Schizosaccharomyces pombe: one gene and its partners. The protein of the gene in region 1 purifies or fractionates together with the protein of each later gene. This does not show direct contact. Each region holds a gene or a part of one and is shown in the gene's direction. Other genes may lie near its edges.

Region 1 (6,510 bases):
TTCGGCTGCTATATTTGCTGAGGCCAAATTGATTCTTGGCCAACGTTTTATATCATAAGATTTGAAGGCAATGTAGCAAATTGAATATTAGATTATTTTAACACTTTAAAAATGTTAGGTAATGTAAGGAATAACATTTCAATTTAAAGAAGGACTGAGCGACAAATGAAAGGCTGTTCTTTTTTTTACAATTGTTGAGACAATTACAAGAACTATGGTACACATAAAAACTTTTAAAGAGTAGCAAGGTTTTAATACAATTCTTAAAGTTTTTTGAGCAAACAGATCACAATGATCCTTTCATATGTACATGCTTTAGAGAAGTAAGGTCAATACTTCAATCGGACTTCTCATCTACAATGAAAACGCGAATTTCATAATAAATACTAATCATCCATCCGTTCTCTCATATCCTTGGTATCCTTTATCCTTCCCATTAGTCAATCTCTAAAGCCATTAATCCTCATTTTTTTATAATGCCATCGCTCAATTCCCGCAAAACATCAAACCTTTTATGAACAGATACTATCATTTACTTACAATATGTTTTTAGCAACATAGCTTCCTATTAGCCTGATGTGAGATTAACTTCGATAAACTTTCAATATTAAAACTTGCATTCGATTTGAATCATCTTTACTGCCATAAAATAGAATTGCGATTTAGGATCAAGTTAGCACGACATCATGGTGTTTTCCAATATTCGCGACCTGTTCTCAACCACCACTCACCACTTCATTAATTCCAAGTTTTAGAATTCTTTAGCTTTTTGAAGTATTACTTGTGAATTCCTCAAGTGATAGTATTTATTGTTGAAATTGCTAAATATTTTTCAATTTCATCCTGCATTGTTTCCTTCTTCAAACATTATATCAGGGAGAAAATTGAAGTGTTTTTTTGCCTGGAAATCTAATCCAATTGCTACGAAAACGAATTATCATATCAAAAAGGTAGAATAACATTAAAAAATGAATCCTGAACGCTGGGCTGCCGATTTAGTCTCTAATGTTAAGGATTACGGCAAGCGAATCATTGACTATGCTCATGAAAAAACTAGTAACCCTCAACCTGTTACAGTTCATACTACAAACAGTGCCAAGGGAAGATTGGGAGAATTTCTTTATCAAAATAGAGTATCAGTTGGCTTAGGATCGGCCGCTTTGTTCCTTGCTGGATTATCCTATTACAAACGCTATGATTATGTACGCAAGCGTCGTGCTCCACGTGCACCCAACCACCAAAAAACCCAAGTTGTTGTCTTATCTGCGTGGAACCCTCTCGCCTCAGTAATTGCTCACGATTTGGATCGTCGTGGTTTTATCGTCGTTGTTCTTGTTCGCGATGCATCTGAAGCAGCTACTGTTTCTCTCCAACAACGCCCTTACATTCAATCTTTGATTGTTACTCATAATGAGGCTGTTGAACGCTTCCTTTTGTCTTTTTCCAATCAATCTGGCCCTAAGGAGTATGCTTTGCGCCTACGTGGTCTTATTCTCGTTCCCACAGGAGATTCTTTGTACACTCCAATTGAGAACATTGGAAAAGATGCTTGGATCAGTGCTTTTCAACAACTCAGTGAATCTTTCTCTAACGTTTCTCGAATGATTCCTCTTTTGAAAAGTCAAAAGGCCAGAATCATTGGCTTGTCTCATGGTATATTATCCGCTTATGAGCCTCCCAATTATGCTGTTCCATCTATTCTTTCTTCTTCCATTGAAACTTTCTTGCGCACTCTCAAGCGTGAAACGGGCTTACAGGTTATTTGTATCAAACTTGGAAATCTCAGCTTTTTGAATTACGATCATTCTAGCTCTCCAGGTAAAAGCAATTATCCTCCTTCGTTGTGTACGGAACGTAAGGTTCTAAACAAAATTTTTGACTCCTTGCTTGGTTGCTGGCCCTCTCCAACTCGCCATGTTGGTTGTCGCACCTTTTTCATGGTCACAGTATCACGGTTCCTTCCTACGTGTGTTATTGATGGGATTTTCTCCTTGTTTGGAAAATTTCACTTCTTTTCCTGCAGTCTTATTAAGCGCAGCTAAATACTTGTATGGAGCCTCAGTTCTCTCTGTTTCCTTGTCAAATTGAACTCATCCCATGTCTATCATGGTTTGGTATAATGATAATGATGCTATGAAAAGATGTCATTGATATCCATATCTTTTGCTTGAGTTTTTTCAATTATTTTTGTTTCTATTTTTTTTACGCTCGAGGTGTAAAGCGAAATCTAGTAACTGTTAAGCTCTTTTCCTCAGAGCGAACTTAAGTAAAATGGTTTATAGGTTATTTTACCGTTCGTACTATTGCTACAATTTCGATTTCAAATTGTATTGTCTACTTAAATGTGCAAGTGATACAAAAGATAGGATGTATATTGATCGCTACTGAAACCGTAAAAACAAAAGTTACTCGTAAAATGAGTGTCAATTTTCTCTTTAATTTATTGAATGAAAATATTAAAAATCATTCGATTTAAACAAATTCAGTTTGGCCAGAATTCTAAACATTTCAATTGCCCTTAATTTTGTTTGCCTCAATAAATCATCGCTCTATTTCGTTAAACAACATAATGTCTGTACGTCCTCTCTCACTATGTGGTTTACTTCCGTATATAAACGGCTCTTCACCCGCAAGTGCACGCGCTCCTCTCAAAAAGGTGTTGTTTTCGTCGCATTCTTCTTGAAGAGGCCAATTTTTGGGATTCTTTTTTATTCTAATTTTTAGAGCTGAAATGAACATGGAACAAGAAGATGATCAAGTCCCAGCTGTTGCAGCTGAAACTGTTCCTTTAAAACGATATGTAACGAATCCTGGTGCTAATCGAGACGAAGAAGTTGCAGCAGCGCCTTCGTCTCAAGACACTCCTTATTTTGATTATGCTTATGAGCGCTCTTTAAGACATGTAAGTATTTAAGTGAAAACCCCCCAATTCGATATATTACGTGTTTAACTAACCATAACCTAGCAAGATGCTAAATTTCTGGCTATGAATGGAACACAAAACGGTCGGGATGGACTGCCCTCTAAAAGCCCAAGACGACCATCAGTCTCGGCTAGCACAGTAAGGAATAGTGATGATGTAAACCATAGTAAAGCTGGTCCTGGAAGTGGAAAGCTTTTGAATGATACGCTTCAAAGCAAAATAAGTAGCATTCATATGCCCCATGTGCAGCAGGGAGACAATGCTGTAGTTTCTAGTGTTGGTGGCCCTGAAACCGATCCAGGAAACATGGAAACGACTGACCCTCTTTTCTCTGATGAATTGGCAGAAATTTATTTGTCAATCCATAAATGTATGGACATGCGACACAAATATATTAGGGTGAGCTTACAGGGTGAGCTTGACAATCCCATTGACGATGATTCATGGATTATATACCCTGATTGCAAAGAAGGTGAAGATGATACGGGCTTGTTTAATTTTGCTGATTGCAAAATTCCTGGAATTGAAAATGAAATGGAATATCACATGGATCATCAAGGTATATTTCAAGTTTATGAGAATGACAGCGCATACATTGCGGGGACACCGTCTTTTCATATTCCTACTATCCGCGATTATTATATAGATTTAGAATTCCTTCTTTCGGCTTCATCGGATGGTCCTAGTAAATCATTTTCCTTCCGTAGATTGCAGTATCTAGAAGGACGCTGGAATATGTATATGCTGCTAAACGAGTATCAAGAGCTGGCAGATACCAAAAAAGTACCCCATCGTGATTTTTACAATGTACGTAAGGTAGATACTCACGTCCATCATTCTGCTCTTGCGAATCAAAAACATCTCTTGCGATTTATCAAAGCTAAACTTCGTAAATGCCCTAATGAAAAAGTTATCTGGCGTGATGGCAAATTCCTGACTTTACAAGAAGTATTTGATTCGTTGAAGTTGACTTCGTATGACCTTAGTATAGACACGTTGGATATGCATGCTCATACTGACACCTTTCACCGATTTGACAAATTTAACTTGAAATATAATCCAATTGGTGAATCTCGTTTGCGTACTATTTTCCTGAAAACCGATAATGATATTAACGGTCGATATCTTGCTGAACTTACCAAAGAGGTGTTCACCGACCTTAGAACTCAAAAGTACCAAATGGCTGAATATCGTATTTCTATCTATGGACGGAATCGTGAAGAATGGGATAAGCTTGCAGCCTGGATTATTGATAACGAACTTTTTTCTCCCAACGTTCGTTGGCTTATTCAAGTACCTCGTTTGTATGATGTGTATAAGAAGTCCGGTATTGTTGAGACTTTTGAAGAGGTCGTCAGAAATGTCTTTGAACCACTGTTCGAAGTTACAAAGGATCCTCGTACACATCCTAAACTCCACGTGTTTTTGCAACGTGTTATCGGGTTTGACTCTGTTGACGACGAAAGTAAACCTGAACGCCGTACCTTTCGCAAATTCCCTTATCCGAAACATTGGGATATTAATTTAAATCCTCCATATAGTTATTGGTTATATTACATGTATGCCAACATGACTAGCTTGAATAGCTGGAGAAAAATACGTGGTTTTAACACCTTTGTCCTTCGTCCTCATTGTGGTGAAGCTGGAGATACGGATCATTTGGCCAGTGCTTTCTTATTAAGTCACGGTATTAACCATGGTATTTTATTACGAAAAGTTCCTTTTCTTCAGTATCTTTGGTACCTTGATCAGATCCCTATCGCAATGTCTCCATTATCAAACAATGCACTGTTTCTTGCATATGATAAGAATCCATTTTTGACGTACTTCAAACGAGGTCTTAATGTTAGTCTTTCCACTGATGATCCTTTACAATTTGCATTTACCCGAGAGCCTCTGATTGAGGAATATGCTGTAGCCGCACAAATTTATAAGCTCTCTGCTGTCGATATGTGCGAATTGGCTAGAAACAGTGTTTTACAATCCGGTTTCGAACGTCAGCTTAAAGAACGTTGGTTGGGTGTTGATTTTCAGGATATTGATCGTACTAATGTACCTATAATTCGCCTGGCTTATCGTGCTTTGACTTTGACACAAGAAATTGCGTTAGTGAACAAGCATGTCCAACCATCCAAGCACCCTTCAAACCATGATTTGGAGGAATTGATCCATAAATATGATGCTATGACTGGTACTAGCGACCCTTTGTCGGCTTCTCCTCGTACGAACGACGCTACAATAAGCAGTAGATTGTCTCTTCATGATGGTCATGACCATGGTGCCTTTTTCCCTGGACTAAGTGTGATTTCAGAGCGTCGTCGACGTAAGGATAGCATGGCTAGCAGTAGCCAAGATTTGAAAGATTAAGGTTTCTATTATGAACCGCTTTCGTTTATTTTACTTTTGCTTTTTTTTTCATGCAACTTTGATGTATTGAAACATTTGGGGAAGGCAATATACCTTTGATACCTTTGATAATTGTGCATTCTGTTTTAGAACGATATTTGTTCTTGTTATGTTAAATAACCCATAAAAATATATATAACATATATATTACCTCCTTTTCTTTCCTGTCTTTTTTTTTTTTTGGAATGAATGTTTACTATACATATTTAAATAGATAATGATATCCATGTGAACTAAAATGGTATGAAAAAAGCTTACAAGTCTATTTAATGGAATACTTATAGAGAATTAATTCTCAAAAAAACAAATCATGTGGATCATCTTCATTATAATAAAGTGAGTAAAGTAAGATAAGTTACCATGTTACAATTCGAATTTAGTAATAACTTAAGCAAAACGTTAAATTGATTAATCAGTTGACGCGGACAATCAGCAAATACTAATCGCACCAAAAGTGCACACAAAAATAAACAAACTAGTTTAGTATATCGATTTGTAGTGTGATAAGGGTTACCCATTCGTGGTTCAAGAGGATGAATTTAAACATTTTTTTCAAGTTCTTTGACAAATTCATCCATATCGAAATCTTCTGAATCTTTCTTCAAATTAGGCAACATAGAGTCTTCTAAATTGAGTATTAGTAAAGCGAAAAAAAAATGAGTACTATTGCACCCGCCAAAGTTCGTTAAACTCGTTGAGATGCAAAGAAACTAACCTTTAGGAGGAGTGTTTTTAGTATTGAGATATGCAATTTTGGCAGATTCAATCAAGGATTCTTGTCGGTGATAGTTCTCATCAATCTCCTTCTGCTTTTGACATTGAATATGACTCCTATGCTCGTACATTCCAGCACCTAAGCCAAGGACGAGGGCTGACCAGCGTAATGTCTATTCGTTAGAGATGGTTAAAAATACACATGGATATTTCGTGAAACTAATTCATTAGAGGATACCTTTACGTTTATGGAATTCATTTTTAGAGCGTTATATCACTTTTGTAAAAGAGTGGGGAGTGTTCAAGTTCATTTTGCATCCGAGCACAATCGAACTCTAAACACTTAACACGAATAGTGCAACGTTTAGTATTAGTTTAACATTCTAATAAAGGTTTTTTTAAAATATTTCAGCAAACGCTTTACCGTATTCTTAATTACTCCGCGGTATTGAAGCTGCTACCAGTGC
Region 2 (5,472 bases), on another chromosome or scaffold:
AAGTTGTTCCAAGGCATAAATAGAGGAAAGCATAACAGCAGCACCACCCATATCAGCACGCATCTCCTTCATGTTTTGAGAAGGCTTGATACTGATACCACCGCTGTCAAACGTTACACCTTTTCCAACTAAACCAAGCCATCCATCATCTTTTGATTTTTCTTTACCAATGTATTGTACTTCTAAGAAACGAGGTGGAATATCGGAACCAGCATTCACGGTAAGTAAACCGTTCATCTTTTGCTCATCAATCCACTTCTCATCGTGAACGAATACTTTAACCTTTGAGGAATTTTGGAATAACTCTTGAGCAAAATGACAAAATTGAAGAGAAGTCATGTAATTAGCAGGACATTCCATAAGAGAACGAGCCAAGTTTTGAGCAGCTGCTTCAATCAAACCTACCTTAAAAGCATTCTCCTCTGCGGTTGCAGTTTTCTTCTCAGATGTGTTGCTAAGCAATTGGAAAGTTAACCTTTCAGGAGCAGGAGAGGTAAATAAATTTTCCTTTTCAACCACCTTTTCATCTTGATAGACGCTCAAATGGTCTCTACGAAGAGAAAAATCGTACGTGGCCAAGGCAGCACCCAAGGCAGCATCCTTGGGAAAACCCATACCATCGACAGCTATCGACTTTGCACCATTCGACTTTAAAATCTTAGCTGCCTCTGCAGCAGCTGAACGAACGGACTTTTCAGAAACGTTTTCTTCAAGCTGGACTATGGCAAGACGAACAAAACCCTGAGTGTTCCAAAAGAGACGAATGTCATTTTTTTTGGGAGATGTTTCAAAATACTGGTCAACAACTTGTCGATAATCTTCAGAAAAAACTTGTTTATCGTGACGAACAGCCAAAATCAAGGAATCGGCTTTTGTAGTAGCTAAAGGAATTCTTGGTAAAAGAATGGAAGAAAGTGAGCTCCAATTAAAGGTTCTCGTACTTAGACCTAAACCCTTCATTGTACGTAAGAAAAAAAGCTTTGCTTGTATCTTTGATTTCTCTTGATTTAGAAAACTTAATTAGACACTTGTAATCAAAAAAAAGGTAAAGGATTACGGATTATTATAAGTTCAATGAGAGTTGGATATTCGAAAATCGTTAACTCGTGAAACTACGAATACACGTAAATTCAGTATGCAAAAATAAAATACGATGTCCGATTGCAGATTGGGCAAGGGCAAGTGTACTTAACATAGTCTAGTGTGTTATTGAGTAGACAAGATCAACATTGTGATGGAAAAATACATTCAACAAGGCTAGACATAAAAAAGAAAAAGCACCAAAGGATTTTATTTCTTGATCAAAAACCAATTTTTAAGTAAGTCACACTCATTTGCTACATATATATTTGAACTTCTGCAGACGTATTGTTGCCCTACAATCTCTATTTAGGGTAACACAAACTGTTTCGGCACAAAAATCTGCCCCTAGTCAATTGTTAAGTAATAAATTCTATACAAATGTAATAGACAAAAATTTTCGTACATGTACCTGCTTGCAGTGACTCGGTTGTATTACAAAGATGCTCACGGTAAATAGTCATATATGGTTTTATATTTAGCCCTGCAAACGTTTCATGGCAACAAACATAAGCGTACACTTAAACACGTTCGACGTTAATAGAGGCATTAGTCTAATTTGACCAAGCTTTTAAAAAATTAACAATTTCATCTATTCAACCGTGATTAAAGGACTAGCAGTAATTTTTTTTATTTTGCAGTGACTCAACAGCCAAATCTATGGGAATTTACCAAGTTTATGTTTTAAAGAGGAAAACCAAGGACACTCAAGAACTACGAAGAACATCTATTTTGGTGTTTTATCAATTGACTTAGCGTAGCTATGATAGCTCTTTATACGAAATCGGTATCTAGTAGTGCAGACACTATGAGTACTTTATGGCTCTTAACGCTGTACACCGCATCCTTAATTGCCCAAATTTAAGCAAAGAGAAATAATGTTCTTTTGCCAGAATAGCGAGTTCGTCTATTGTTGTCGTTTCACCCTGCATCGAAGCAGATGCTTTTTAGTCTGAAAGGCCAATTTTGTACGTATCAAGGATGCCTGGGGATGTAGAAGGTTGCCAGCATCTTAAACTTAAACCGGCGGATGTTGAAAACTATCAAAAGATCTGTACCCAGATATTCAGTTGTCATGTAAGGCTTGTGAACAACACTTCATACAGTTCAATTTTCTTTTTCCATTCGATTCCTTTTAACATTTCTTTCATTTAGTTTGTCCCACGTCGCTGCAGTACTTGCAAACGCATCAACAAGCGGAGTATTCGATGCTTGAGTTGTCATTCTGTGGGATGTCTTTGGGGACATCATGGTGAAGAACACGCAATGGAGCACACTCATATGATCGGTACGTTTAGTTGAAAACATAGCTATTGATTTAGCAACGAAACCTTTTTGCGAATATCGAGTTAGGATGCAATTCCCGAATACCAATTACTAATTCTTAGGCGTGGATGTAAAAAATGGCCATACCTACTGCTTTGGCTGTCAAGACTACGTTTATCAGACCGAGTTGGAAACCCTTCGTTTTAAGATCAAGAATATCAAGGCATGGCAAAGTGATCACAAGAGACTTCCCGAGAAGTACAATCAAATGGTTTGCTTAGAAGCCTATCGAAAATACCCTCCAGTTTGCGCAACAGCAGGCTTGAGGGGGATCCAGAACTTGGGTGCTACTTGTTTCATGAGCGTCATTTTACAAAGTATTTTGCATAATCCATTGGTTCGAAACTTGTTTTTCAGTGGGTTTCATACTTCTACTGATTGTAAGCGACCTACTTGCATGACTTGTGCCATTGACGATATGTTTTCATCTATTTATAATTCTAAAAACAAATCTACTTTTTACGGTCCCACTGCTGTCTTAAATCTTATGTGGAAACTCAGCAAATCTTTATGTGGTTACTCCCAGCAAGATGGCCACGAATTTTTTGTATACTTGCTGGACCAAATGCATACGGAAAGCGGAGGAGGAACATCAATGCCGTGCACTTGTCCTATTCATCGTATTTTTAGTGGATCTCTGAAAAACGTTGTTACATGCCTAGATTGCAAGAAGGAGCGGGTGGCTGTGGATCCTTTGATGGACATTAGTTTAGACATCAATGAGCCAACACTTCAAGGATGTTTGGAAAGGTAAAATTTGCTCGTTTTTAGATTTTTTAACAAATATTATTTTAGGTTTGTTTCCAAAGAGAAAGTTCAATATAGCTGTCATAGTTGCGGGTCAAAAAATGCTATTAAACAATTGGTCTTTGACAAACTACCTCCAACTATTTGCATGCAATTGAAACGATTTGAACAAAATAACTTTGCCATGTCAACTAAAATAGATAAGCAAGTATCTTATCCAGCATTTTTAAGAATGCGCTACAACTTTAATCAAGATGATGTGGATTATCAATTATACTCAGTTGTGTGTCATAAAGGAACTCTCGACACAGGGCACTATATTGCCTATACATACTACCAAAATCAAGTATATTAAATTTTTTTTGAATTTTTTATGGAAATTTTTACTAATTTTTGTAGTGGTTTTTGCTGGATGACACCACAATTGTGGAAGTAAAGGAATCGGAGGTCTTAAATTCTCAAGCGTAGGCTCTTTGCTGTTATTTTTTTACATACTAACCAGATTATAGTTACCTATTATTTTACCATGAGCGTCAAATCCTATACAGTGATGAAATGACTGTTAAAACGGAAAATTGAGTTAGATTATGCGATCAGATATCCGTTCATGAACAATCATTATGAACCATGTAAAGTAATTGACTCAAAGGTTCCTTATTTATGTGGTTATGAAACATCATCACTTCGATAATCTAACTCATGAAGAAGCTTTTAGATTTCATATTGTTGAGGCCAGAAATGGCATTGGATTTGGAACCGTTACAACAGTCGCATTTTAATTAATGACCTTACGTAAATTTATAAAAAAAGTTAAAACTATAAAAAAAGAAACATGCTTTTTTTCTTTCAAAGTTAACAAATACTATAAGTTTGAGGAATTTGGACTTTTGTTTTGTTTCGTTTAATATTATTCCAACTAATTATAATTTTATCTTTTAAAAGCTAAGTCTTGTCGTCGAGTAAGCTATTTTATATGTAACTGTTAAAATGTATAAAATTTTAAAATATTAATAAGGAAAACAACTCTTTGAATTAAGGAAGCATGTCAAGTTCACAAAATCGGTAGTTGCAGATCGTCCAAATCCTCTGGAATGCTGCAATACTCACGAATTTGATTGGTATCGGCACCCATGTCTCGACAAAAAGCTATCAAAGTATGGATTTGATCGGTCCACAAATTGGCAGCTTCCATGTACTTTTTAGTATTCTCATTTTTTAATTCAAAGGTTTCAGGATTACAGTGATTTAAATTTGAAAGTTGTGTTTTAAGAAGTTTTAGTTCTGATTCTTTTGCATGTAGCAGTTCCAAAGTGTATTGATTGGCATCATTTTCGGTTCCTTCGTTATCCCTTTTGGATTTCTCGAAACTAATGTTTTCATCTAAAGTTTTAGATTTTTGTTTCAAATCATCAAGTTGAGCTTGAAGAGATCCGAGAACTGACTCTCTTGAACGTTTAGCATCGGAGGGAAAAGACCAGTAGTAATTGCTAGTGCCAATCTTTTCCGTTTTGACGATATTGTCGTCAACGAGAGACTGTAAAACGTCCTTTACAGTTTGCAAAACGATTTGCTTTTTAGAGCCCAGCTTTTCCACCTCCTTTAGTTGAAAAAAATCTTTCTATAAAAAAAACATAGATTAGCAATGTGGAAAGTGAGACACGAATGGGCAAAAATCATGTTTTGGCACTTGAACAATCATATCACGAACTTACAGAGTCATGGAAAATGGCCTCTAATCTTCTTCTTTTCTCTGCAAGCGATAGTCCCTTGGGAGGCATTGTTTAAAAATTTATTAATTAGTTTGAACAAATATGGAGTTTAAAAGTTTGTTGTGATGCAAGAAGTAGATGCTTTCTAATCTTTTGGAGAAATGAGAGTTTAGATCCCAAACATTTACTGAATGATAACGTAGTCTGCTAAAATGCACATCCGCACTTTCCAACTATGATATATACCCTATAATGTCTTACTATCGTATTGCAACATAATGCAATGCAAAACGTTATTCAGCTATCCTAATCTTTTTGACCCTTGAGGAAATTAAGGAATTAAGTGAATGGGGTTGGCTATTGTCGCACAAAAACATGTGAGGAAAACTTCCTTTTGCCACGAAATCGAAAAGACTCGAATACTGATAGCAGCATGATTTTTTTTTTCTCAAGAGCTTTTGTCGGCGCTCACCTTACTGTACGAATTCGGTTTTACAACCTTTTATTTATTTTTCACTTTATTATTTTCACACAGCGAATTTCAAGCAAACACTGACTGACTAACACATTTCCACATACACACACACACACACATAGCATTCATAAGAGC
Region 3 (4,861 bases), on another chromosome or scaffold:
ATAAAATTACTTGATTTTATTAATGTGTTAAATATTATATAAGAAAGTATATTTCTTTCTTTTAGTAGTAAAAACAGTTAATTTTTTAAAAAATACAGTACTTTTTTTATTGTTTACATTTATTTAGTAAACAAGTAGCTTTACGGTTACCACGGCAACTCCTAGCTGAGAGGTCAATTCTACCTCTTGCGCTGTAGAAATTCTTTTACCAAAACTAAAAATTTCCTGTAAAGGAATTGAAATATCAAAGTCTCGAAAAACGCGTTTTTAAAATAATTCGGGGCTTTGCATTCATTTTGAATTGTTAAACTCGTGATGTCAACCGGTCAGCTCAAACGCTTTAAAGGATGTGAGTATTTGACGCATCGGTTAGTCCTTGCAACTCTCTCGGGAACTCCGATTCGAGTTGAAGGAATTTACCCAGATGAAGCCGATCCTGGTGTCAAAGATTACCAGGTTTCGTTTTTAAGGCTGTTGGAGAAGTTGACCAATGGCAGTGTCATAGAAATTTCTTACACAGGTACTTCGTTCATATATCGCCCAGGAAATATTATAGGAGGTCGTGTAGTCCATGATTGTCCAACTACCAAAGGGATAGGCTATTTTTTGGAACCAATTCTAATACTTTGTCTTTTTGCAAAAACCCCTACTTCACTTACTCTTACTGGAGTTACTTCCAGTAATGAAGATATTGGTGTCGATGTTTTGCGCACTAGTGTATTACCCTCTCTTCAAAAGCGTTTTCAAGTTGGTGATGAACTTGAGTTGCGCATATTAAAGCGTGGTTCTGCTCCTGGCGGAGGAGGTGAAGTGAATTTTTTATGTCCTGTAATTAAAGAGTCTTTACCTCCCATTCGTCTCTCAGAATTTGGAAGAGTCTTCCGAATCAGAGGAATTGCTTCTTCAACTAGAGTATCTCCCGCTTTTGCAAATCGCTTAGTAGAATCTGCTCGCGGAGTTTTAAATCCTTTTATACCCGATGTTTTCATTTATACAGACGTTCGCCGTGGAGATGAATGTGGTAACAGTCCTGGGTATTCTATCACTTTAGTTGCAGAAACTAATAAGGGTTGCTCTTATGCTGCCGAGCATTGTGGTGAAGCTGGAGAAACACCAGAAGATGTTGGTTCCTTTTGCGCAAAGAAATTATTGGAAGTTATTGAATCTGGTGGTTGTGTAGATCCATATACACAACCTTCAACTTTAACCGGGATGCTACTATCCTCTGAAGACGTTAACACAATAGTTGTGGGTCAACTTGGTATTACTTCGCAATTAGTTGTTTTTCTTCGGGATGTGAAGGCACTTTTCAATTGCGAATATAGATTTAAAGAGCTCGAATCAGGCCAGGTGGAGATGTCATGCTTAGGAAAAGGATATTTAAATGTCAATCGCCGCATTCAATAGAAAACCATTTATCAGTGGGTCCTTTGCTCGTTTATTCTTCTTAAACATCATAACATTACATTTAACATATTGTTCGGGTACTTAAAATGAACGAACGTCTTTTTGATATATATTTACTCTTTAATCGTACTAAGAAGTTCATTACCCATTAACTTCCCATTGCAATTACGACATGAGTATAAAAAAAAAGCACCATACATATTTAGAGATTTAAATACGTTTTTGTGACTCAGTTGTTTTAACGGTCTTGTTATGTTCATTTTCAATTATGGTTTGAATTTTTTTGGTTTCCTTTAAATTACTTGGTTCTGTTTCTACTTCATTCTGCTTTAATATTTCTTTCCCGATGCCTCTTTTTCAGAAAATTAGTTCTTAGATGCTCTTCTCATTTGAAAATCTCAACCTTTTTCCATGTCCTTTTGTAAAAAAAAAACACTGCCAATTTTTAGTAAATTTGTATCATCATTGATTTTGTATGAATGATCCTGTTCGTTTTATTATTTACTAAATGAGAGTTTTTACTTTACGCTGCTTATACTAAAATTTTATGTAACTTCTAAATTATTAACATTGGTGATACTAAAAGCAACTTTGATAGGAATTGCTTTAATGAAATCATTCCTTCTGCATAAATTAAAGTTTGCTTAGATAAATTTTTATGACTCGAAATATTTAGTAATGTATATGTAAAATAGCATTGTTGTAAACTTTCTGAAACAAGCTATTTAGTGGTGTGCAGTGGACTCACGCTAACTTCTGAGTGGATACAATTTGCAACGCTCGCAACGACCATAAATCTTTTTGGGTGGTAAAACAGAAAAATAACGGGAGTCGTATTTGTCTTCGCATATACTTATAGTATTTAATAAATCATGAGTTCTCCAGGAATAAGTGATGAATCTATAAAAGGACCTAAGGACGTTCGTCTGATTCATCTAATACTTAGCTCTCTGGGTGTTCCATCATACTCTCAAACAGTGCCTTTGCAGTTGTTAACATTTGCACATAGATATACACAGCAGTTAATCCAGGATTCACAGGTTTATGCGGAACATTCACGTGGGCAAAATGCTCCAATTTCTGTAGAAGATGTACGTTTAGCTGTTGCTTCTCAAATCAATCACTCCTTCACTGGACCTCCACCAAAAGAATTTTTACTAGAGCTTGCTATGGAGAGAAATCGAAAACCTTTACCCCAAATTCAGCCGTCTTATGGGTTTCGTCTTCCACCGGAGAAGTACTGTTTAACTCAACCCAACTGGATTGTCAGTAATGAAACCCAACAGAATCAACCAAAGGAAGAGAACTCCTCGGATTCACGAATGGAGGAGGATAAACTTGACTTCTCTGTGAAGTCTGAATAAATTTATTTTCCTTTTAAAGTTGTTACTAATGCCGGGGAAGTGCTGATGATTTAGATATATGTAAATATTTTTGAAGCGCTCACGAATCTTTGCAGCAGATGATTATGGTTTTATTTATATGATTTTGTTCCTCCAGAACTTCCTATTTAACTTGCGAAAGCAGGGCGTGGGTAATAAATCGTTTACAGTTATAAGGTACCTGTTTATTTGTTTATTTGCTACGAAATCAGTGTATGGAGCAAAAAAGTATACAACATTTTTAAATTCAGCTCATATTGTACATTACTGTACACTGTATCTTTTATATATGGTACGACATAGAATAGAAAAAAGTGAAAGAGACGGCAACAACATCAGTGACGGCGCGCTTTTTCTTAAAATGTTACAAAAACTGGAGTAATTCATGTAAGGCTGTGAAATTGGCATGAGCTCGTCGAGAGCTTTCTTCAACTACTAGGCTCATTTAAAATTTACACCGCACCAATGTTTCTTTATTACTTACAATTGCCTCTCATCATAACTTTGAAAATACAATTTACCACAATACTAGTGATAACATAATATCATGCATTTTAATTTTCTTTATATGACCTATACAGATCCCCTAAAAAGAATATAGTAGGGATACTCGCACGACAGCTAAAAATATATAAGTTATATAATAATTTTGAATCAGAAGGAAGGCAACGGAAATATCCACACATTTTTTGCGCTCTCGGACATATATTTCATCCGCGTTATTTTCATCATTTTCAAAATCATTTATCTCTCACATACTTCAACCATTTCAAAGCTCACCACAAACCTGTATAGGAAATATAAAGAAACTTGATGCTTTACGTAAACACAATTCAGAACTTACAAAAACACAAAAGTGAAAACTTGGTATTTAAGTCGAAAGTCATACCATTCGTAAAAAGAGTGAAATTATAATGTGTAATAAACACAAGGTAAAACATTATGTTCATTAAACAAAATCAGGAGTTTGATTGTACAATTAGCAACCATATGAGAATAGCCGAATGAAAAGTTTCAAAACAATAAGTATCCATTAACAGAAGTATGACCCATTAACTAGTTTTGAAACTAAAGAATTTTACGAAGGTCAACAACATAATGCAAAATTAAAGCCAATTTCTCTGAATGGATTTAAATCATCATAATCATAAGCTTTTAATAAATTGTAAAAATTTAAAAAACCACGTCGGCATTTTTTTGATACCTTACATCATACCGGGCATTCCACCCATGCCACCCATTCCGGGAGGACCAGCAGGGGCCTTGGACTCTTCAGGAGCATCGACGATGGCACATTCGGTGGTACCCATTAATGAGGCGACTCCACTAGCATCAACTAAACCGGTACGTACGACCTTTAGGGGATCCAAAACACCAATTTCATTTAAATCAACAAAACGATCCTTAGCAATATCATAACCGATGTTAAATTCCTTGCCATAAAGCTCCTTAAGTTTACCAACAATCAAGTTACCCTCTAATCCAGCATTTTCAAGAATGGTTTGAGCGGGACGAGTGATAGCTTTGCGAACAATTTCGACGCCAAGCTTTTGATCAAAGTTATTTGTAGGAATGTCTCCTAAGCGAAGACTAGCCTTAACAAAAGAGGTACCAGCACCTGGGAGAACACCCTCGGAAACAGCAGCCTTAACAGCATTCAATGCATCAACAATACGGTCTTTCTTCTCGTTGACTTCAACTTCACTGGAGCCTCCAACCTTAATAACAGCAATACCACCGCTCAATTTGGCCAATCTCTCTTGAAGCTTTTCTTTTTCGTATTCAGTGAGATTAGGGTCGGCCATGACACCACGAATCTGTTCACAACGGTCGTTAACTTTAACATGGTCACCAGCACCTTTCATAATGATAGTGTCTTCCTTGGTGACAGTTACAGAGCCACAGCTACCCAAATGATGGGGTTGAGCCTTTTCGATGGAAACATCAATTTCATCATTGAACACGGCACTATCAGTCAAGACGGCTAAATCTCCAAGCATATTACGACGGTTGTCACCAAAGCCAGGGGCTTTAATAGCAACAACTTGTAATTGCCCACGAAGCTTGTTTAA
Region 4 (4,651 bases), on another chromosome or scaffold:
AATCCATCTCCGTTTCGGCTTTTAATATTTCTTCAATGCATAATGAATTGTCTGGTTTAAGCGAAAAAAGTCGTCAACGTGTCGAAGCTGTATGGGCTGCTTTTTCAGAGGCTTCTTGCAGCGAACGTAAACTCGCTTTGCAAGGCATTTTAAACAACTGTTCGTCCTCTCTTCTCTCTTTTGCCTCCAGCACATTAGATTCTCTAGTACGCTTAGATTTTCTCTCTTTGCTCCCTGTTGAAATTTCGTTTCGCATTTTATCTTTTTTGGATGCTAGAAGCCTTTGCCAAGCTGCACAAGTCAGTAAACATTGGAAAGAACTTGCTGATGATGATGTTATATGGCATCGGATGTGTGAACAACATATTAATCGAAAATGTGAAAAATGCGGCTGGGGACTTCCGTTACTCGAAAGAAATACCTTATACGCAGCAAAGGCTTCCATACAAAAACGTTATGAACGACTTACAAAAAGAGGCGTCGATCAGGCTCATGAATCTTCACCCGTCAAAAAAGCAAAGCTGGACGATTATCCGACGTCGAGTAATGAAGAGACTATTTCTTCTGTCAAACCACCTTCTCCGAACTCCGATTCCAAATTCTTTCTTCCCTTTAAAACCAGACCATGGAAAGAAGTATATGCTGAACGTTGTAGAGTTGAATGCAACTGGCGGCATGGTCGTTGTCGCCAGGTTGTTCTCAGTGGCCACTCTGACGGTGTTATGTGTCTACAACTTGTAAGGAACATTCTTGCTAGCGGCAGTTATGATGCCACTATACGATTATGGAATCTTGCTACCTTTCAACAAGTTGCTCTATTAGAAGGTCATAGCAGTGGTGTTACGTGCCTTCAATTCGATCAGTGTAAACTTATCAGCGGTTCAATGGACAAAACTATTCGTATATGGAACTACAGAACCTCTGAATGCATTTCTATTTTACATGGTCATACGGATAGTGTTTTATGCTTAACGTTTGACTCTACGCTACTTGTTTCTGGAAGCGCAGATTGTACAGTTAAGCTGTGGCACTTTTCTGGCGGTAAGCGTATCACTTTACGCGGTCACACAGGACCTGTCAATTCTGTCCGCATAATTAGAGATCGTGGACTTGTTCTTTCCGGTTCCGACGATTCCACCATCAAGATTTGGTCTTTGGAAACAAACACGTGTCTTCATACTTTCAGTGCTCATATTGGCCCTGTCCAGAGTTTAGCTCTTGCTGATTCGCGATTGTTTTCTTGCTCATTGGACGGCACAATAAAGCAATGGGACATCGAGAAGAAAAAATGTGTTCATACATTGTTTGGACACATTGAAGGTGTATGGGAAATTGCGGCAGATCACCTTCGTTTAATCTCGGGAGCTCATGATGGTGTTGTTAAAGTTTGGGAGGCTTGTGAATGTGTTCACACGTTGAAGAATCACTCGGAGCCTGTAACCTCGGTTGCTCTTGGAGACTGTGAGGTAGTCAGTGGGTCTGAAGATGGGAAAATATATTTGTGGCTTTTCAATAATGCTCCAAATGAATCTCCAGTATCTACACAATCTGTTCCGATATCTTCCCTTAATGGTCAAAGGTCAAATTCAAGTGTGCAACGAGCTCTTTCTTCAGTACCCAACTACTCATCCTCGTTATCCAATATCTCAACCAGAAATTTAAATATCCCACCCTCTAATGCCAATAATGACGATGTGTCGATTCAATCGTAGTTACCCCAACATCGCATCGCCTTTTTGTTTGTGTCTATTTCTTTTTTTCTTCGGCATTTCGCTTGTATATCCTTCATTTTTCATCATTCGAAGCTATGTCTTTATTTATTGCTCGGGTTGCCAAAATGCCATATCTAAATTTGGCTCTTTTTTGGTAACAAACACTTTGTCTATAATCAAAAACTACTTCTAATATCCTTGCCTGTATTGTATTATTTAAATCATTTGAGATTGATGGCATCCCGGCATACAGTTTAGCCTTTTGCTTAATTTACTAGCGAATTATTTTATGACTTTTAACATTTTATGTATTTAATGAATACAATTTATCCTTAGTCGAGCTGAAGAATGTATGATTTGATGAATTGTAAAAGGGAGAAACTTAGGTACTATGTTGTAGGCGTTGTTTTTTCCAATTGCGCAAGTGGATTACTGATATTTTATTTCATGAGCGTGTGTATTTTGCATTGCTCTTGGAGTCAGAGAAGTATGAAATTAGCAAATTATATCAACACTCACTATTAGCAAATAAAGTCAGCTCCTACGCAAGCTAAAGATGTAACACCAAGTATTTGAGCCTAATAATTTTTATAATAAAGACATCAATTTGAAGCACTTCCGTTCTGTAAATCTCAATTTCCCATACGGATCAGTTGCATCTTTTTCCTCATTGTTTGAAATTTTGGAATCACCGGCTTTGTAACAATACTAACTTGCTTGGAATACTCAACTTTTGATTCCCAAAGAATGGTTTAAAGATGCAGCCTGCTTCTCTTGCCGGTATTGTAAGTACCTGATTTCTCTATGTGTAATTGTTTTTCCTTTCAAAATTAAACTTCCTCGCCAAAAAAAGATTTGCTTGTTTATGAAAGCATGTATCATTTAATCGATCGCGGTTTATTTAACATGTCAAATTGTAGTACTTTAAAGACAAAAGGAAGATTAATAGAAAAACAATTGTCAATAGGTGGCTGAATTTAACACTTGTACAACTTTTTCACTAACTTCAAATTTCAATCAGTCTTGCACTATATTTGAGAATTTGTTGAAAGACTACACCCATGAATTGACCCAAACAGTCCACAAGAATGCTAAATTATCTCTTCAAAAATGTCCGGCCTGTAACAAGCATTGTCGGCAGTATTGTACCAAGCCAGGCTACGATATATATGGTAATAGCGTCCAAACTCCTTCAAATGTCCCTTATTATTCTTGTTTAATGTGCAAGCGTGAAATAGCTGCGTCTCGATATGCTGCACATTTAGAGAAATGTAAAGGCAGGTCACTTTCAAACGCTACCTCGTACTCAACTCTTTTCGAAGATGACAATGCAGACGAAGAGGACTAGTTTTATTTGTTGCTTGTTTTAAGGTTTATTCTCATTATGCACATGTATGTCTTTCCCAGTAAGACGAACTACAATATTATTTTGCTAACTTGTGTAGCTAGTTATTAAACTCATATATAGTAGACTCTCACTTCAATAAAAAGACGAGGAATTGTAAACAAGAATTACCAATAAATATTATTAAAGGATAAAGATATTATTTAAACTATTTGGTTAATAATAATGCCCATATTAAGGTAACGAAGGTGAGAAGTAAATTTTTAATTGAGGAAAATATCTTTCAAAGTTGGTAAGACAAGGATAACAAGAATGAAGAAGTAAGTTGACAATAAATTTTGGTTTAACATATTTGTCATTATGTTCAGCAAATTTTAGGTAACGAGTGAATAATAGAAAAAAAATATCGTTTAATATTAAAAAAAGAAAAAGAAAGAAATTAGTTTATGTTTTAGCATTGACAACTTTCAATCGGTTTAATTTATTTTCTTTGCCATTTGAGATACCAGCTCTTTCATGATACCACTTAAGAAAAACAGAAGCAGCCATAGTTTGAGGTGCCAAATGACGGTTTAAAAGCTTCCCCTTCATATTTAAAGTACAAACTAAAATAGAGTTTGAAAGTTCATCTACTCGAAGACATTGTTCTATCGAAACGGCCTTCATTTCGATTTTTTTAACATACCTCGTCCAAACAACCAATCCATCGTCGCAAAAGACGCAGGCATTAAAATCATAAATAAATGAAGTAGCTGGAATAACTGACCCTTTAAATTTTATATGCCTTGGAATGTCCACCGCAACACCCTGGTTTCCACACAGTGCACTAAGTACTTGATAACTTTCCTCGCGGGCTTTTTCTTGGTCTATATAAGAACATAACTCTCGAAAATCGTCAAGTGTTTTGACCGCCATCCGAAAATCTCCATTCAAAAATGGATATTTCCGTAACATTTTACAAACACGTGCTAAATGTATAGGATATCTCAACAAGTGTTGCAATGGAATTAAAAGCTGACTGTTGCACGAAGAAGGATCAGAAATTATTTTTTCAATGGCAGATATTCCACTTAAATTGATGGTATACATGTGGTAAACATCACGAAAAGCGGGTAAAGATTGCGACAATGAATATACTGGAGAGCCACTGGAAATCATTTGTTGATATAACTTCGTGTGTAACTGATTTAAAGTCTTAAAGCACGTGCAAATTCCAATCGCCTCCCTTTCCATACTTTGGCCTTCGATTGGCATTATAATTTCCTAAAATGTAAGTAATCACAAACTAGTAAACACGAGCATAATATTTGCTATAGTAATCGTTACATTTAATGTTTTCTTTAAATCAACAGAGTAATTGTATTCTGTCGAAATTATTTCCTGAAGTATACTGTTAAACTCAGTAGCCGGTGTTTGTTCAACAGCTTTTGCTTCTAAATAGACGCACGGATTAGTTCTTTTCGTTGATTGTTTTTGAAGTAATCTAATCGATTTTCCACGCGTTAGAGACCTTATGATTGGCATCGTTTTTAAAAGTGCCATGCTCCAGGCGAAACGTGTTAGGAAATTGCATGTAAATAACACGCTCCAAAGT

Evidence for each region.
Region 2: the proteins of ada1 (region 1) and ubp8 purify together in Schizosaccharomyces pombe (affinity purification with mass spectrometry, with the first as the bait; one study listed by BioGRID). This does not show direct contact.
Region 3: the proteins of ada1 (region 1) and taf9 purify together in Schizosaccharomyces pombe (affinity purification with mass spectrometry, with the first as the bait; one study listed by BioGRID). This does not show direct contact.
Region 4: the proteins of ada1 (region 1) and sgf11 purify together in Schizosaccharomyces pombe (affinity purification with mass spectrometry, with the first as the bait; one study listed by BioGRID). This does not show direct contact.

The regions. Positions count from the first base shown.
Region 1 is NC_003423.3:377,659-384,168, forward strand, and holds ada1 (adenosine deaminase Ada1), read left to right. Parts: upstream 1-2,641; 5' UTR 2,642-2,731; coding exon 2,732-2,902; exon of another isoform or gene 2,903-2,965; coding exon 2,966-5,290; 3' UTR 5,291-5,642; downstream 5,643-6,510. Other genes in the region: SPOM_SPBC106.03 (steroid dehydrogenase), read left to right, coding at 969-2,042; tim11 (F0-ATPase subunit E), read right to left, coding at 5,869-5,954, 6,045-6,216, 6,282-6,302. UniProt on the Schizosaccharomyces pombe protein: AMP deaminase plays a critical role in energy metabolism.
Region 2 is NC_003424.3:577,980-583,451, reverse strand, and holds ubp8 (SAGA complex ubiquitin Ubp8), read left to right. Parts: upstream 1-1,971; 5' UTR 1,972-2,061; coding exon 2,062-2,157; intron 2,158-2,235; coding exon 2,236-2,368; intron 2,369-2,468; coding exon 2,469-3,156; intron 3,157-3,201; coding exon 3,202-3,499; intron 3,500-3,503; exon of another isoform or gene 3,504-3,552; coding exon 3,553-3,617; exon of another isoform or gene 3,618-3,662; coding exon 3,663-3,732; 3' UTR 3,733-4,099; downstream 4,100-5,472. Other genes in the region: ysp2 (peptidase family M17 cytoplasmic leucyl aminopeptidase yspII (LAP yspII)), read right to left, coding at 1-960; protein Mcp7, read right to left, coding at 4,205-4,771, 4,866-4,931. UniProt on the Schizosaccharomyces pombe protein: Histone deubiquitinating enzyme component of the transcription coactivator SAGA complex. SAGA acts as a general cofactor required for essentially all RNA polymerase II transcription.
Region 3 is NC_003424.3:336,113-340,973, forward strand, and holds taf9 (SAGA complex/transcription factor TFIID complex subunit Taf9), read left to right. Parts: upstream 1-2,189; 5' UTR 2,190-2,279; coding exon 2,280-2,771; 3' UTR 2,772-3,651; downstream 3,652-4,861. Other genes in the region: rcl1 (rRNA processing protein), read left to right, coding at 316-1,407; protein Mcp60, read right to left, coding at 3,995-4,861. UniProt on the Schizosaccharomyces pombe protein: Functions as a component of both the DNA-binding general transcription initiation factor complex TFIID and the transcription coactivator SAGA complex.
Region 4 is NC_003424.3:1,370,127-1,374,777, reverse strand, and holds sgf11 (SAGA complex deubiquitinating submodule subunit Sgf11), read left to right. Parts: upstream 1-2,307; 5' UTR 2,308-2,470; coding exon 2,471-2,497; exon of another isoform or gene 2,498-2,733; coding exon 2,734-3,060; 3' UTR 3,061-3,104; exon of another isoform or gene 3,105-3,157; 3' UTR 3,158-3,300; downstream 3,301-4,651. Other genes in the region: F-box/WD repeat-containing protein Pof1, read left to right, coding at 1-1,712; mug10 (Rho guanine nucleotide exchange factor), read right to left, coding at 3,502-4,320, 4,384-4,599.